3 linked regions of the Caenorhabditis elegans genome follow. The protein of the gene in region 1 purifies or fractionates together with the protein of each later gene. This does not show direct contact. Each region holds a gene or a part of one and is shown in the gene's direction. Other genes may lie near its edges.

Region 1 (7,963 bases):
TATGTCAAATTGAGTGAAATTTACAATATGCTTAATAGGGATCAGAAACTTGGACCGGTTGTTCAGAATTTTAGCTTTCTTCCATTGCTCGAGTTCCACAACGCCATTTATCGGCTCATAGTACTTTAGGAATTGAGCTTGGAGAGTTATTTCTTCGAGAATTTCAGGTTCGAACTTCTGAAGTATTTCAGAAACTTCACGGGCGGTGAAGTCATCGATAATCACTTTTTTCGCTTTTAACTTGAAGTTTAAGGATTCGAAAAATGACTCAATTGCCTTTAAAATGATTTTTCTTTCATTAAAATTGTTGGTAGCCAGCTGTATCAGAAATTCATCAACTTCAGGGTACTTCACCAAGCTCTTCAAGTCCTCCATCAACATTTCAACGTGGTTCCTTCCAGCATGTACTCGGCCACTGTTCTTATATTCAACTTGGCAGGCTCCATCAACTTGCTCATAGGTAACCCCGCCGTAGTTCTCATCGAGAATTAGTCTTGAAAATTTTTCATGAAAATTTACATGAACCGTCTTCAGATTTGGACCGAGGTTATCGATTATTGCTCGGAAGCTGTAGGACACTTTTCGAGCGATTAGCCTGAATTTTCAATGCTTTTTTTCTTTAAAAAAACAAGGAAAACTCACCTTTCCAAAGCTTCCAGATTATTCAAAATTTGTTCAATAAGTTCGATTGGCAAGTCGGAGAGTGATGACATTTTGAGAAATTTGAAGAAAAAATGAAGTGATTTCAACACAGTTCTCTGTGACTAGTGGCCTAGTTGGACAGCGCAGAGACGCAGGCGCACCAGCTGACTAGAGAGTATGAGAATCAGACACCGAAGGTGTTTCAGAACTGGCCGCCAACTTGAACCTGTAAAATGTAGGCACAGCTTGAACCCTTGGCTTTAAATAAAATGTAGTCTTAGTTTGAAACCATGTGTATTCAGACAGGCTTTTCACTGTCTTACTTCCAGAAATTTCAGGAGTCGCATACGAAATTTACGTAGCAGTCATCGAAATTTTAAACAGAAAGCTAAGACCTGCGGCTAAGCCTGAGACTAATTTTAGGCCAAATTTTTGAGCCTAAGCCTAACTATTAGTTAGACCTTCTTATGTATTTGGCGATGGCAAAACGGTAATATCGAAGATTTTCAATTATTTTTGCCATTTTTCAAACAGTTCATGTGTATTCGTATTAAAACATTGTAGGGGTCGAAACATGCGACATTTCTTTAAATTTCCTCAAAAGCTCGTATTCAAAATTTTGGTAAATTGCCAAAAATTTTTTTTTGAAGTTTTATTATGATATTTGATCTTTTTTACACTATTGGAGTAGTTTTTAACACTTTCCCCACTGACGCTACTCCACCTTTAATAACGTGGTGACGTCACAATCTTTTTGTAGATCAAACCGGCATGGGACAGCCTGACACCACGTGAAAATACCAAAGGAGGCGAAATTTTACAAATTCAATTTTTGTTAAAACTGATTTGAGCCCACAAAAACAAAAAAGTGATGGCTAAAAAAAAGTGATGGTTAATTTCACGACACTACTTGAATAACCCCATTTTATCTGAATTTACGGTTTTGCCGCCAAATACCTAACGGGGCCCAATTTTTTTGGGTTCTAACTTTTTTTGTCTTCAAATTCAAATTTCCCCTTATTATACATTCAAAAAACCACGTACTTCTTTCATTTTTATCTTCTCATTCAAGCGAAACTTTTTCCCGCGGAAATTTGAGTGCAAGCGCGCTCCACTGCACCTTTCTCGTCTGCGTCTCCACCTTTCCCATTGTCTCTAATCCGTGACGAAACCTCATCATTTCTCGCATTTTGGAGGGGAATTCAAATTGATTTCTCTTGGTTTTTCTCGTTTTTTCTTGATTTTTCTCGTTTTTCAGCTCATTTTTAACCAAAAAATCGGATTTTTCAACTAAAATTCCGCATTTCAGCCATGGAAGACTCGTACAACGACATGGAAGACCCCGGCTTCCGCCAATTATCTGACATGGAGCTTCAAAAAGCGCTGGAAATGACCAAACAGAGCTCGATAAAGAACAATTTGATGCTCGGGCTCGACAATGAGCTTGACTTTGATTTTGGTACAATATTTGTCGAATTTTAAGCCGAAAACCCCGAAATTTCCAGATTTCGACGAGGATGAGGACCTGGATCAACCACAAATGGGCACACGAGCCGATAAATCGTTGGGATTGTTGGCGAAACGATTTATTCGAATGATTCAGTACTCACCGTATGGAAGATGCGATTTGAACACTGTATTTTTGAAAAAAATCGTGAATTTCGCAATTTTCGTATTTTTTAGGCCGCCGAGGCGCTCAATGTCCGGCAAAAGCGACGAATCTACGATATTACGAATGTTCTCGAAGGAATTGGTCTTATTGAGAAAAGAAGCAAGAATATGATACAGTGGAAGTAAGAAAGTCGAATTTTCAGCAGGAAAAATGACGTTTTTCAATGAATCGGCGGAAAATCGTATTTTAACAAGAAAAATGACATGTTTAGAAAAAAAATCAATTTTGTGTCAAAATATTGATTTTTCAGCTCAAAAAGCTTAAAATGCAAGAAATTTCGGAAAATTTCAGATTTTTACGTGAAAAATCGCATTTTCAGCCAAAAAATGGCGCTTTCCGGCAAAATGGATGAAAATCACATTTTTTGGAATATAGCTCCTATTTCCTGTAAAAATCGATAAATTCGATTTCTAAAACACTAATTTTTGAGATTTTTCACCGAAACAAATCGAATTTTCATATGAAAATTTCATTTTTGACACAAAATCACTTTTTAAAGTTAAATTTTCAATTCAAAGCTCAATTTTGTGGCAAAATCCTTATTTTTCAGCTTAAAAACATGAAAATTGCTGAAAATTTCAGATTTTTACGTGGAAAATCGGGTTTTCAGCCAGAAAACACAAGAAAAGGTCATTTTTAACACAAAATTACATTTTCAAAGCCAATTTTTCTATAATAGCCTCAATTTCGCTCCAATTTCGGTGAAAATCTCTATTTTCCGGCTCAAAAACCGCTTTTTTGCACATTTTTCCCCGGAAAACTCAATTTTTTGTTTTCAGAGGCGGTGATTTTATGCTAAACGTGAAGGAAGGGAAACGACAATCGGCCACAACAGAAGAAGAAGATCGAATGGAACAATTAAAAGCTGAAATTGAGCAATTAAATAAGGAAGAAGAGCTCATTGAGCAACGTCAAAGATGGCTTCAGCAGGTAGCGAATTTCCAGAAAATTTGATGAAAAATTTGCTGAAAATCGATGAAAATTGAGCCAAATTTACGCAAAAATTGGCTGAAAAATGACCAAAAATTTCAGAAAAATTCAGCCGAAAATTGAGAATTATTTGCTGAAAGTCGCTAAAAATTTGATCAAAATTGAGCAAAAACTGGCTAATTTTGATAGAAAATTGAGCAAAAATCACTGGAAATAAGGCTGGAAATTGGAAAAAATTTAACCAAAAAGTCCTGAAAAAAATAGAAAAATTCAGTCGAAAATTCTGGAAAAATATGGCTGAACATCATTAAAAATTGAGCCGAAATTTAGAAATAATGGGGCTGAAAATCGCTGAAAAAAGCTGAAAATTTGACTTAACTTCCTGAAAAATTAGTCTGAAAATCGTTGAAAACTGCTGAAATTTTGCCAAAATTTCCTCCAATTTTCTGAAAAAAATATGGATGAAATTTCGAGAAAATCAAGATAAAAATGGTGCCAAAATGATGAAAATTTTGTAAAATAAATTCTGGAAATTTCGGCTAAAAATTGCTTGAAATTGGTCCAAAACTGCTGAAATTTGGCAGAAAATTTCTTAAAAATTCAGTCAAAACTTCTGGAAAATTCGCTGAAAAATGGTCAAAAATTCATTAAAATTGCGGACAATTTTTCTGAAAATTTATAGGAAATTTCAGGCAATCTGAGCCAAATTTTCCACAATTTTTTTTTGAAATTTTTGGTCAATTTTTCGACAGTTTTAAGCCAAAACCGCTGAAATTCTCAAATTTCAGAGCCTCCGAAACATGACAGAATCCGTGGAGAACAACAAGCTCAGCTATGTGCTCCGTTCACAGCTCGCCGAGATTCAAGGCTCAGATCTTACGATTGGAATTCAAACGAGAGTCGGCACACAAGTTCGGCTCAGTGATCCGGAGGTAGAGAAGAAAATGACGCGAAAATTGGAATTTTCAATGAAAATTTAATGGAAAAACCTGGAAAATTGTGGAAAATTCATATTTTTCTTGGAAAAAACGGGTACAAAACCCGATTTTAACTGAAAAAAACGCTGATTTTTGCTCAAAATTAATTCTTTTTAAGAATTTTCGATGAGAAAAATGAATTTTTTAATTTAAAATACATAAAAAACTAGAAGACTGTCCAAAAACCGAAATTTCTGTCAAAAAAGTGTAAAAACTTCTCCTCGTGGAGTACACGAGCTGCGTAAATCTACGCAATATTTTTCTGTGTTTTTTGTATGCAAATTTGTAAAAAAAATATCAAAAAAATAAATTTTTGGCTGAAAAACGGTGAAACATAATTTTAAACAATATTTAAATACAAATTATTTGTTCTAAAAATTTTTTAAAAATTCTTAAATTTCCCTGATTTTTAGCAAAAATAACGAAAATTCTTCAAAAAATTTGATTTTCTGCTAAAAAAAGTGTAAAAGCCTCCCCTCGGGGAGTACACGGGCTGCGTAAATCTACACAAATAATTTTTTTCAGCTAAAAATTGATAAAACGAAAAAATTAAATAAAAATGTTAAAAAAAAAGAAGAAACTTTTTCAATTTTTAGAAAAAAAAAAGAAAAAAAAAGCTCCTTTTTCCAAAAAAAAGCAGAATTTTTTTTTGTAAATTTCCCAAAATTTGGCGAGTTTTCATTTTTTTTTTGTTGTAAATTTGACGATTTTCGTAAAACTGTCGTAAAATACAAAAAAATAGACTTTTTTTCGAAATATTTTGTTAAAAATCAGAAAAAAAATTTTTTTTAATTGATTTTAAAATTCACAGAATTTTTTTCGATAAATTTCAGAAAATTCCTGAAAAAACTGAAAAAGATTTTCAAAAAAAAAAACGCAATTTTCGCTCTATTTGGCTCTAAAAAACAAGACAATTAAACAAAAATCAGAATAAAAATTTTAAAAAAATTGTTTATAAAATTTTTGATAAATTTTAGAAAATTTCGGAAAAATCTTCTTTTTTTTCAAAAAAAAAATCGAACATTTTCAATTTTTATTTTCCCCCATTTTTTCCAATGAAATTAAAATTGCAGCAAGTCGATTTTTGATCGAAAAAAAGCATTATTTCTATGTGAAATGCATAAAAACCTATTACGGGAACAATAAATCATGAGAATGCGTACTTGGTGCATTTTATTTGACGCGCGATATCTCTTAGCGAAAACTACATACAGTAAATGCTTAAATATCTATTGTTATTTGAGTTCTTACTGTAGTTTTCGCTAAGAGATATCGCGCGTCAAATAAAATGCACCAAGTACGCATTCTCATGATATATTGTTCCCGTAATAGAAGACTGCCCAAAAACTGAATCTTCTGTCAAAAAAGTGTAAAAGCTTGTCCTCGGGGACTACGAGCTGCGTAAATCTACACAATATTTTCCTGTTTTTTTTCTCAATTTTCGCTTTTTTTTTTGTATGCAAATTTGTAAAAAATATCAACAAAAATTTTTTTTTGGCTGAAGAACGACGAAAAATAATTTTAAACAATTTACAAATCATTTGTTCTAAAAAATTTTTTTTAAATCACACTTGTTTCTTAAATTTCCCTGATTTTTAGCAAAAATAACGAACATTCTTCAAAAAATTTGATTTTCTGCTGAAAAAGTGTAAAAGCCTCTCCTCGGGGAGTACACGAGCTGCGTAAATCTACACAAATAATTTTTTTTTTGGATAAAAAATTGATAAAACGAAAAAATTAAATAAAAACGTAAAAAAAAGAAGAAACATTTTCAATTTTTAGAAAAAAAAAAAAGGAAAAAAATGCTCTTTTTTTCCAAAAAAAAAGCAGAATTTTTTTGTAAATTTCCCAAAATTTGGCGAGTTTTCATTTTTTTTTTGTTGTAAATTTGACGATTTTCGTAAAACTGTCGTAAAATACAAAAAAATAGACTTTTTTTCAAAATATTTTGTTAAAAACACAAAATTTTGTAAAAAATCCGAACAAAAATTATTAAAAAATTCATAGAATTTTTTTTGATAAATTTCAAAAAATTCCTGAAAAAACTGAAAAAGATTTTCAAAAAAAAACGCAATTTTCGCTCTATTTGGCTCTAAAAAACAAGACAAATTAAAAAATATCAGAATAAAAATTTTTAAAAAAATTGTTTATAAAATTTTTGATAAATTTTAGAAAATTCCGGAAAAATCTTCTTTTTTTTCAAAAAAAAATTTTCAATTTTTATTTTCCCCCATTTTTTCCAATGAAATTTTAAAAAAATTGCAGAAAGTCGATTTTTGATCGAAAAAAAGCATTATTTCTATGTGAAATGCATAAAAACCTAGAAAACTGTCCAAAAACCGAAATTTCTGCCAAAAAAACTAAAAACTTCTCTTCGGGGACTACACAAGCTGCGTAAATCTACACAAAAAATTTTTGTGTTTTTTTTTTCTCAGTTTTCGCTTTTTTTGTATGCAAATTTGTAAAAAAGTATTTAAAAAATAAATTTTTGGCTGAAAAACGACGAAAAATAAATTCTAAAAATTTACAAATTATTTGTTCTAAAAGATTTTGAAAAAATTACACTTGTTTCTTAAATTCAGCAAAAGCAGAATTTTTTTGTAAATTTCGCACAATTTGGCGGTTTTTTAATGGAAATTTGACGATTTTCATAAAATTGTCGTAAAATACAAAAAAAATAGTTTTTTTTCAAAATATTTTGTTAAAAATCAGAAAAAAAATTTTTTTTAATTGATTTTAAAATTCACAGAATTTTTTTTCGATAAATTTCAGAAAATTCCTGAAAAAACTGAAAAAGATTTTCAAAAAAAAAAACGCAATTTTCGCTCTATTTGGCTCTAAAAAACAAGACAATTAAAAAAAAATCAGAATAAAAATTTTAAAAAAATTGTTTATAAAATTTTTGATAAATTTTAGAAAATTCCGGAAAAAATTTTTTTTTTCAACAAAAAATCGAAAATTTTCAATTTTTATTTTTTCCCCATTTTTTCCAATAAAAAAAATTGCAGCAAGTCGAGATACACGGTGGACCATCTTGGTGTTACCTGAAAGATCCCTCTGGACCCCTCCGAGCCGCCATCGTTTCCAACCATGAGCTACATGATTTTGTACAGAGAGAACGAGCAAAACGGCCTGGTGAAGAGCACGTTGACGCTGATGCTCCAGATGAAATGATGGATGATTCAAGATATCGGAATCGGCGGACGATCAATGATGATGAAATGTTTGGTTTTGAGCAGAAAGGTGCTGCTGAATTGCTGGAAATTTTGCTTATTTTTTAAAGCAGAATTTTGAGAAAAAATGGATTTTTTTCACTGAAAGTAGCTAAAAAATAGCTTAAAAATGAAGAATTTTGAAAAAAAAAATTGGAAAAATCATCATTTTTTCCAAGAAAACACCAAAAAAACTGGACTTTTATGGACGTTTTTTCGAAGCTAAAAAATCCAAAAAATTTACTTTTTCTGATAAAAAACATTTTCCTTTTGTTTTCTGCACCGTTTTCTAGAGTTTTTCGAATCGAAAAATAATTCTCAGATTTTTTCACATGAAAATTTGAAATTTAAGCGAAAAAAACATCAAAACTGTTTTTTAACAAAAAAAATTGAAAAAAAAAACCGGAAAACCTAGAAATCCGCCAAAAAATTTGAGAAAATTTTCACAAAAAAAAGCATAAACTGAATTACATAAAATTCTTTTAAAAATTACAGAAAAACTGGGAAAATTTGGGAAAATTACCTCTTCT
Region 2 (4,763 bases), on another chromosome or scaffold:
TTTGAGAAGTATTTGATGGACATCGATGGATGGCTTTTGGTAGATCCATTTTAGTGTTCAAGATTCCAGATTTCGGACTTGAAATATCGTTTACTCCAGCCAAACAGACTCCTTTCAGCATTGTACTTCTGAAAAATATCACTGTTACTTCCAAGAAAAACTCAAAAACTTTGTAAAACTTACTCGTTTTCAAGAACATTAATACGGCCATTTTTGTAGAATCTTATCCATTCCTGAACGTCTCCATAATAATATTCATGATTGCCAGTTACGAAATAAGTAGGTGCGTGAGCAGGGAGTTGACTGAAAACAAAAATTGAAATTTTGTGAATCAAACTAATTCGCCTACAGAATTGGTCGAACTCTATCCTCGATTTCCGCAACAGGAGCATCTACCATATCTCCAACAATCAGAATAGCATCAACTGGATTTTCAAGCACTTTTTCGACAACTTGATTGATTTGTTCCGAATAAACACTTGCACCAGCGTGCAAATCAGAGATCACTGCCAATTTTAATCGATTTCCATCAGCAGTGAAGTTTTTTATTTTGATGGTCTTTTCTTTGACAACAATCCAATCGCGTGATATAAACATACTGACTGACAGAAGCAAGGTGATTATCATTGTGAATCTGAAAATAACATTTTTAATGATAAGTTCCGAAATGAGATGTTTTTTGTTACTTTATTTGAGATCTTCTTTTCCACATGAGATCGTTAAAATAAGGAACCTTTCCTATTATTTCCAAAATCGAAGCGGTGTAATGGAACATCTGAGAAAATTTTTTTAAAATAATTTAAATATTATTGAAATTAATATTACCTTCATTTTTCCAGCATAGAAATTAACAATCCCAAATCCACATACGAATGCAATCATGTTAGTCCATATTCCCGCGCAGATTGAGGTGAGATCGAAGAGAAGCCACTGAAATGCAAGAGACTCTTTTAACAGCAACACAATTTCTAAAAACAAACCTGGAGAAATGCTGGGGCATAATACATAAAATAAATCGCTTGTCCGAGAACTAGGAAAATAATAAGGCCATCCGAGCATCGTTTCCGGATTGTCTGAAATGAGAATAGGTCAGTTTTTGGTGAGAAGAAGATTTAATCGATTTGAAGAGAAAAATAGTTATGGTCTTTGAAATCGTAGCAGGAAAACAAAATAAATTTTTATTTAAAAGCAAATTCTTGTTTTGCTAACTTTTTCCAACAAGAATATTGCAATTTGTTGAAATTTCAGTGTCGAACGAAAAAAAAAGAAAATTTTGTTCAGCAACAACACTCCGCCTTGACACCTCTCGCGTTGTTTATCGTCATTGATGGGTCTCGCAACGCACGGCGCGTCTTCAAATTTGGGTTTTTTCTGTTTTCCTCCATCTTCCGAATATTATTGATTTCTCTCACGTATTGATCAAAAATTGTTCTGGTTAACGTTTGTATTGCAGCGTTCTTAAAAACCGATAAAATTTAGATTTAGAACAGAAAAGAATCAGTTTTTTACGATGGCAACAAAATATCATTCATTATTCTTATAATTAACACTTTTCGTAGCTTTTCTCGTAATCAAAGTCATCATTTACAGATCTAAGCAATCGAAAATCTTGATTCGTCCAGGCAGGTCCTGTAGAAATGAACCCGGTTTGTAAAATAAGAAATCGATATTATATTAAACTAACATTTGCAGACAAACTACGATCCCCGTATCGGCCAACCGGCACAAAGTCGACCACAAGTATCCCTGAGTATGGGAAGACGAATTGTTCAAATGCCTACAGGTCTTCCTCGTTCATACCAAGATGAGAGTCACAATGAACCTGTGGGCTGGGATGAACCTTCGGGAGTTGGAGGATCTAGTGGAGCAGGAGGTCAACAATCTGACAAACCAACCGGACTCAGACATTTTTCCACGAAAGTTTGTGAAAAGGTGAAAGAAAAAGGATTGACGAATTACAATGAAGTGGCTGATGAACTGGTAGCAGATTACTTTCAAAATAATCTTATCAAGCAGATTGATGTTGTGGTAAGAAGTTTGTTTTTCTTCTTTTGAAAAAAAACTTTTTTTTTCTAGAAACAAGAATACGATATGAAAAATATTCGGAGGAGAGTATACGATGCGTTGAACGTTCTTTTGGCAATGAATATCATCACAAAAAGCAAGAAAGATATCAGATGGATTGGACTTCCTGCTTCAGCTTCACAAGAAATTTCGAGATTGGAAGAAGAGAAATCGCGACGGGAAGCCAGCATAAGTTCCAAAAAGCAGGCTCTCGAAGAAATGGTATTGCAAATTGTTTCTTACAAAAATTTGGTCGAACGGAATAGAAAAAATGAGCAGTACGTTTGAGTGTTAAATATTTTAGAAAAGTTAAATTTTCAGCAAAAATGGTCGCCCAGAAAACGACACTGTACTTCATCTTCCGTTTTTAATAATTAATACTGATAAAGAGTAAGTTGAAATTCCAAAATTATAATAGTCTCAAATATCTATTTTTAAGAGCAAATGTGGAATGCAGTGTATCATCAGACAAATCCGAATTTCTGTTCTCGTTCGACAAGAAGTTTGAAATTCACGATGATTTCGAAATTTTAAAAAGTAAATTTAAATGCCAAAAACCGATAAGATCCACATTTTTCAGAGTTGAACCTTGCATGCAGTTTGGAGACTACAAATCCCACAGCGGAAGAAGTCAAAACTGCGAAAAGCTTTTTGCCAACCTTACACCAGCACTATGTCGACGAAATCATTGCCAGTAAGTATTTCTTTTTAAAAATCAATCATGGAAACCACAATTTTCAGACCGTAAAAAGGTTGAAGCAGAAAAAGAGGAAAAGAGAAAACAACAACAGTTGATTGCTGATCAAATGTCTATGAACCTCTCACAAGCCCAATACGTTGAGCCGACAAGCTCTTTGGCGCAAATGTCATATTCATCGCGATTCAACAGACAGCTTCAGGAGCATTTGATAAACGATGGAAGTGAGGACAGAAGTGGTAAAAAAGTTTTTTAAAAACATTAAAAAAATTGTTTTTTCTAGCTGCTGCCGGTATAATGGAACGCGATTATGATATGGATAAGAATGTTAATCAGGGATCAGCCAGCCGAGGGCCAATGTATAATACTTATAGTCCACAAAAGATTCGAGCTCAAGTTAACACGCCTCTTCAAGTACCACCCGTTACCAAACGATATTACGTACAGAAGACACAAGGACCAATGAAGGTTTGTTCAAAATGAAGATTTTTCAGTACAACTAAAACATTTTCAGCATGATATGACTCCCGTCGTTCGAACTGTCAATCGGCCGTACTCTACTGTACCTCCAGATCGCAGGCTCTCAACTGGAGCTACTTCTGTGAATTCAGGACCTGTAAAATACTACGTGCCACAAGGACATCAACCGATGCATCAGCCAGTTGGTCAGAGATATGTAAGTTCGTTTTAAAGATTTCACAAACTGATTTTTCTTATTTTTCAGAGAGTTCGTCCACAGCAACCACAAATGAGTCATATGGGTCAGCCACATCAAGTGCAACAGAGAGTTGTCTATCCTGCTGGAAGCATTTCTGGACATCAGTTACAACCTGGACAACGAATCGTAACTCAGCGAATTGTTGCTCCAGGTGGTCCACACCCGCCGGGCACAATTGTTCGGAAAGTGATTCGTAAAATTGTTGTCAACAATCCAAAGCAATCTCCAGCTCAACAAGTTATACAAAAGAAAATGATGGAGCAAGGTAATTTAAATTTGCCTTAAATAATTTAAATAATTTAATTTCAGATATGTGCACATTTGAACGCAAAACGGAACAGCCGATGACTTCTGCGCAGGCCGCTGCTCTCATTCAACACCCTCAACCGGAGGAATACGATTATTTCCAGTAAATGTTTAATGTAACTAGTTGTTATCCCCCTTTTCCCAGTTTTTAAAGGTTCTCAAACGATTCTCATCTGCTTTTAAAATAGTTTCTATACGAGTTTCAATTTTATTTCTAGACTCCTTTAAAATCCCCTCTTCTTTAATCTTTAAAATAGTATAGTCTTCTTCGTCGATTCTATTCCGACATTTGCCAGATTAGAATTGACGACAGATTTCATAATCTACCTTTTACATTATTATTTTGTGTTCAATTTGACATTTTGAAATATGCTTCTTATATGCCCCGACTTTGACAGCATTATATGTAACTCAATGCTCCCGATTTTACCATCATTTTTTATGAAAGAATGATAGATTATAATTTTTAGTTTTACCTGCATTTTTCGGCGATCCAACGATTTCTCCTTGACAATGTCATCGTCGAACCATCTCATCAGCTGGCCGTATGCAAACACATTTAACAGAGTTAAAATGCACTTTAATTGGATTAAATTAATTAGATTTTTTAATTAGAAGAAGCAACTCACTTCAATGCGGAACACGGCAATGACTCGACGGCGGTTACCAACTAAATATCCTTCCACTGATTCAATCTGGAATATGATATCTTATAGAAAAAACTGGGCTTATGTAAATCAACTCACCCAAAATCTTGAGCAATACGTGAGCAGAATCCAGGAGATAACCGAGCCAAAAACGAGAAATCGCTCGAAACTCATCTGAAATTGAAACTGCGAAGACATACTCACTCGAGATCTTTTTTCTGATCGCTTTTCCTGTTTAGCATAGAATTGTCAATGTTCTCTCTCAGTTTATCGCCCAAACTCATCTCCTTACATCCGATTTCTATCGGGAGAAGGAGAAAATTTAGAGAAT
Region 3 (4,754 bases), on another chromosome or scaffold:
TACAAATCCAGAAGATAGTCTATTGTGTGTTGTAGAACGGGAAAAGGCCTTAATAGTTCCGGTTTGTTGTATTTATGGGTGTCAGCAGCTGATCGTGAGTACTCTTTGACCATTTTCGTCGGATCTGCAACGTATTTTGACCGGGGTCCTGAACTAGTCGATGCAGTAGCTTCTAATTGATCTATCAGATGATTCCGGCTTCGAAAATTTATTTCAGCGACTGGGCACATTGATTCACACGAGGCCATTTCTGAATGAAGCGAAAATATTTTAAAATAAAATAAACTGAAGAAAAAATTCATCAGAGCGCAGTTTCTCTCCACGCAAAAATCGATTTCGAAAAGCGACGAAGCACGAGTTCTTTTACCAGAAATAGATAACAAATGAATCCCAACACCAGTGTCTTTCGATACAAATTCTAAATTAGACGTCTTGCATGATTTATTGAGATATTTATCAAAATACACGCAGATAGTAACAAGAATTTATTGGAACAACAAAAACAAGTGACAGATCATTGAGCTGGGATCTCGATCTCTCCATTGGCGATCGACTCGATGATGTCGTGTGGGTGTTGTCCATCAATTGTGCATCCAACGGATTGGGCTGTTCCTGAAAAAATACAATATTTAGAAACAGTTTATCGTTTTCGAAATATTACCAAGGATCTCCTTGACGGTTCCTTCAAGTTTCTTGGCCATCGATCTTGGTCTCATGATTCTGGCGATCTTGATGATGGTGTCAACAGTGAGGTCTCCATTGTGCTTCACTGAAATGGAAACGTGCAAAACGTTAAACTAGATTGATTAAACAACCCGTTGGGACGAGACAACACCAAACCCAGGAAAAATCAAACTCACGGAGCATGAAAATCACTTAGGTTACTAGTCTTTAAGTCACAAACTTTTACAAACTTATGAAGTAAGAGACCAGGGGATGAGAGCATATCGACTCCCGACCCAACGCATTAAATGCGTACCGTTCTTGACCTTCTTGCGGTCACGTGGTGGCTCCTTGAGCTCCTTGACGATGAGGGAAGCAGCAGATGGGACAACGTCGATCTTGGCAACACGGTTCTGGATGGTCAATTTGCAGGTGACCTTAAGACCCTTCCAGTCTTGGGTGGCCTTGGCGATGTCTTCTCCGATCTTCTTTGGAGACAATCCAAGTGGTCCGACCTTTGGGGCAAGAGCGGAGGTGGCTCCGACTTCTCCTCCGACGCAACGGAGGTACACTGAAAAGTGAAAATGATGCAAAAGAGTTTTTCAAAAATCACGATGATGAAATCTTTGACAAATTGAAAATCACGCATAATACGTCAAATACCTAATTAAATGTGCACAAAAATGAGCAACTTACCGATCTTAATCTCAGTTGGGTCGAACTTTGGTGGCATGATGAGTGACGTCTACCAGGGATACCGGCGGTGACAAAAGTGAGAAAAAATTCGTCGCGAGGACTTGGCGCCGGCGAATTGACTCCGTATCACAATGGTTGTTGCGTCGCTACGCAGCGAATTGTCGATGTCAATTTTCAAACAACATTAACTGTGGAGCGCACTTGCATTATTTTTGTTTAATCAAATTTCGGCGCGCGAAACAATTTTTTAATCCTTTTTTTGGGTGTTTTTTAAATTTATTAATATTAAATCTTATTGAATTATTGATTTTCAAGAAATAAGTTACTAATTTAACATTTTTGAAAGTATTTAGACGGCGAAAAATGAAATTTTGGTTCAAAAAGGAACGTAAATAAGTTGTATTTCATCCTCAAAACGATGTTCTTTTTTTTTTGTTGGGAATTTTCTGGCAAGATAACTTAATTTCTTTTCGTTTAATCTCTTTCCAAATGCTAAAACATTGTTTTCCTGATTAGTTATTTTTCAGTATTTTCAGTGTTGACAATGAATCAAGGAGAAATCGTTTATCAAGACGACGATGATTATTACGACGAATCGGAGATATACGATAATTATGAAGAAGGTGCCGAATTTATCGAAGTTAATGGACAGCTTGTGCCTCATAATCCAGTAATTTGTTTTCAATTCGAAATAAAAATAAACTTTTCTCAGAACTTACAGGCGCAGCAAAATCGTCCGGGAACCTCGAGTATGATTCAACAGCATAATCGATCAATGGAAGTTAATCAGGGATTGGTCAAAGACGAACCAATTGATACATCATCGCATCGCGTCTACGTCCCCCCTCCGAGACCAGTTCAGCGAAAAGTAATTTTAAAAATTTTCGATTTTTTACGAATTGACTAACCTCTTTGGAAGCTTTTTCAGCCTGGGCCCAGCACTCCCGGATCGTCTCAGTACACTGTGCGGAATTTGTCCAATTTATCGGGTTCACCTTCAATGTACGATCGACAGCCCGCTTCATTACGTTCGTAAACTAGAGATCTTTTGTCCTAATAATTATTTTATTTAAGCTAGAACAGTGCAACCAATGGGCTTGGAGATGGGAAATTCTGAACAGCGAAAAGTTTACATCGATATGAAAGATCACGTTAGTCATATTAGATTGAAAACTAAAAAGTAAAGAACTCAAATTTTGTAACTTTTCACTAATTCCTCTATTTTTCAAGAAAAGTATTTGCACCTGGCCAGCGGAAACCATGCAATTGCACGAAATCTCAATGCCTCAAGCTCTACTGTGATTGTTTCGCCAATGGAGAGTTCTGTCGTGACTGCAATTGCAAGGATTGTCACAATAATATAGAATACGACAGTCAGCGTTCAAAAGCCATCCGTCAGTCACTTGAGCGAAATCCGAACGCTTTCAAGCCAAAAATTGGTATTGCTCGTGGAGGTATTACCGACATCGAACGTCTTCATCAGAAAGGATGTCACTGTAAAAAGAGTGGTTGTCTGAAAAACTATTGTGAGTGTTATGAAGCAAAGGTTCCGTGTACCGATCGATGCAAGTGCAAAGGATGTCAGAATACTGAAACATACAGAATGACAAGATACAAGGTGCAATTTCCTATAATTCAGTTTAAAAAATGGAGTAACGATTCTGGATTTTTCGAACGTATAGGCTAACAAATGTGCTCAAATTAACAAGTTTTGTTTGGCAGTTCAAAATTCCGAAAAAGGCTAATTTTGATCACTTTTCCGTGTCCCAGCGGTCGGAAGCTGACTTTTTTTGAATTATCATCTTTTATTGAATATTTTGGTATTTTATCTGACGTTATTTCATTGATTAAGGTACATTTAAAGCTGATCGGTAACCAATTTCGATCATTTTTGGTCACCTCTCGGCCTTAAATGTACTTTAATTGATGAAATTTTTAAAAAAACGTTAGATAAAATACCAAAATATGCAATAAAAGATGATAATTTTAAAAATGTCAATTTCCGACCGCTTCGACGCGGAAAAGTGGCCAAAATTGAATATTTTAGCTCAAATTTCACCTTTTTCAAATTTAAAAAAATCATATTTTGGATCTCTATACGTTCAAAATACCGCAATTCTTGCAATAAATTTAATTTCTTATTCAAATTTTAATTTCAGAACTCCGGTGGTGCCGTGTCCAATACGAATGCCCTGATGTCATTGACCAACGCTTCCAGCACAGCGACTCCAGATTCTGGTCCGGGAAGTGTGGTGACCGATGAGCATGGAGACGACTACGAGGATATGCTTCTTTCGCATAAACCGAAGGTCGAGATGGATCCTAGACGCTTCCCGTGGTACTATATGACCGATGAAGTCGTTGAGGCAGCCACTATGTGCATGGTTGCTCAAGCTGAAGAAGCTGTTAGTTGGAAAATCAATTGGTTTCCTATTGAATTTAATTTTTTTTCTTTGCAGTTAAACTACGAAAAAGTGCAAACCGAAGACGAAAAACTCATCAATATGGAGAAGCTTGTCCTTCGTGAATTCGGCCGCTGTCTCGAACAAATGATCACAAACACAACTGAGCTCACACAAGATCTTGATGCCGCTCCAACGGATGACATCCCAGGACCATCTACTAGTACTTCTTAACTATTCGCATTAAAATTATTATCAATTTTATCACAGTTGCGCGATCTTTTATGATCTCACCTCTCACACATTCTTTGCCTTCCTCCCCTCCTCTCAATGCTTTTACAGATTCACAAGTTGCCTTCTTTCAAAGTTGTCAAATAAAAAATGATCAGAAAAATTTGTTTCATTTTTACTAACTCACCTGCGTCTCTTCAATTTTAGAAATTATTGTGTTATATTTATGAAGTTTTGTGTCTTTTTTTTATTATTTGGCAGCATAGTTGCACATTTGTTCCCAGCAAAGTAATTATTTCGAGAAATGTTTGATTTTTTGATTCAGAAGTTTAAATTAAATTTTAATTGCGTATTGTGCGCCGAAACACGCTCCTATTTTAAACAAAGCTATTCAGGAGTGTTTCGGCGCACAATATGCATCGCTGGTCTGCGATTAAAATTAAAATTAATTTTTATTGTGCAAAAAATAATTAAAATGCGAATTAGTACACCTTTAAAACCTAGAAAATTTATTAGAAATGTCAGAAAACGAGCTGAGCGCCGAGGACACTGCATTTCTGGAAAAAGCCTTCGAATTGGCTCAAGAAGCTTTAGATGAAGATGAAGTTCCAGTTGGATGTGTATTTGTGGTCAATGGAACAGAAATTGGAAGAGGTCGGAATCGTGTGAACGAGACCGGTGATCCGACAAGGCATGCTGAGATGGTAGCAGTCACTGAAATGTGGAAAGAGCACGGAACGGGCTGCGAGGATCTGCTCAAAA

Evidence for each region.
Region 2: the proteins of efl-1 (region 1) and dpl-1 purify together in Caenorhabditis elegans (affinity purification with western blotting; 2 studies listed by BioGRID). This does not show direct contact.
Region 3: the proteins of efl-1 (region 1) and lin-54 purify together in Caenorhabditis elegans (affinity purification with western blotting, with the first as the bait; one study listed by BioGRID). This does not show direct contact.

Annotation. Positions count from the first base shown.
Region 1 is NC_003283.11:16,959,664-16,967,626, reverse strand, and holds the start of efl-1 (E2F/DP family winged-helix DNA-binding domain-containing protein), read left to right. Parts: upstream 1-1,951; 5' UTR 1,952-1,953; coding exon 1,954-2,101; intron 2,102-2,147; coding exon 2,148-2,278; intron 2,279-2,325; coding exon 2,326-2,435; intron 2,436-3,093; coding exon 3,094-3,244; intron 3,245-4,032; coding exon 4,033-4,176; intron 4,177-7,229; coding exon 7,230-7,464; intron 7,465-7,963. Other genes in the region: fbxa-90 (F-box domain-containing protein), read right to left, coding at 1-595, 643-713.
Region 2 is NC_003280.10:9,168,320-9,173,082, forward strand, and holds dpl-1 (Transcription factor dpl-1), read left to right. Parts: upstream 1-1,590; 5' UTR 1,591-1,637; coding exon 1,638-1,646; intron 1,647-1,692; coding exon 1,693-2,028; intron 2,029-2,076; coding exon 2,077-2,342; intron 2,343-2,385; coding exon 2,386-2,454; intron 2,455-2,503; coding exon 2,504-2,601; intron 2,602-2,644; coding exon 2,645-2,758; intron 2,759-2,805; coding exon 2,806-3,000; intron 3,001-3,044; coding exon 3,045-3,229; intron 3,230-3,275; coding exon 3,276-3,437; intron 3,438-3,485; coding exon 3,486-3,744; intron 3,745-3,788; coding exon 3,789-3,892; 3' UTR 3,893-4,246; downstream 4,247-4,763. Other genes in the region: T23G7.2 (Calcineurin-like phosphoesterase domain-containing protein), read right to left, coding at 1-128, 184-303, 350-634, 687-775, 826-930, 981-1,073, 4,262-4,363, 4,415-4,480 and 1 more. UniProt on the Caenorhabditis elegans protein: Synthetic multivulva class B (synMuvB) protein. SynMuvB proteins are required to repress the induction of vulval development by Ras signaling and probably act by forming the multiprotein DRM complex that represses transcription.
Region 3 is NC_003282.8:13,239,165-13,243,918, forward strand, and holds lin-54 (Protein lin-54), read left to right. Parts: upstream 1-1,886; 5' UTR 1,887-1,903; coding exon 1,904-2,029; intron 2,030-2,071; coding exon 2,072-2,227; intron 2,228-2,278; coding exon 2,279-2,387; intron 2,388-2,433; coding exon 2,434-2,539; intron 2,540-2,589; coding exon 2,590-2,977; intron 2,978-3,518; coding exon 3,519-3,764; intron 3,765-3,818; coding exon 3,819-3,995; 3' UTR 3,996-4,237; downstream 4,238-4,754. Other genes in the region: tag-115 (SAC3/GANP/THP3 conserved domain-containing protein), read right to left, coding at 1-248; rpl-12 (Large ribosomal subunit protein uL11), read right to left, coding at 515-612, 662-769, 980-1,234, 1,360-1,396; JC8.4 (CMP/dCMP-type deaminase domain-containing protein), read left to right, coding at 4,511-4,754. UniProt on the Caenorhabditis elegans protein: Synthetic multivulva class B (synMuvB) protein. SynMuvB proteins are required to repress the induction of vulval development by Ras signaling and probably act by forming the multiprotein DRM complex that repress transcription.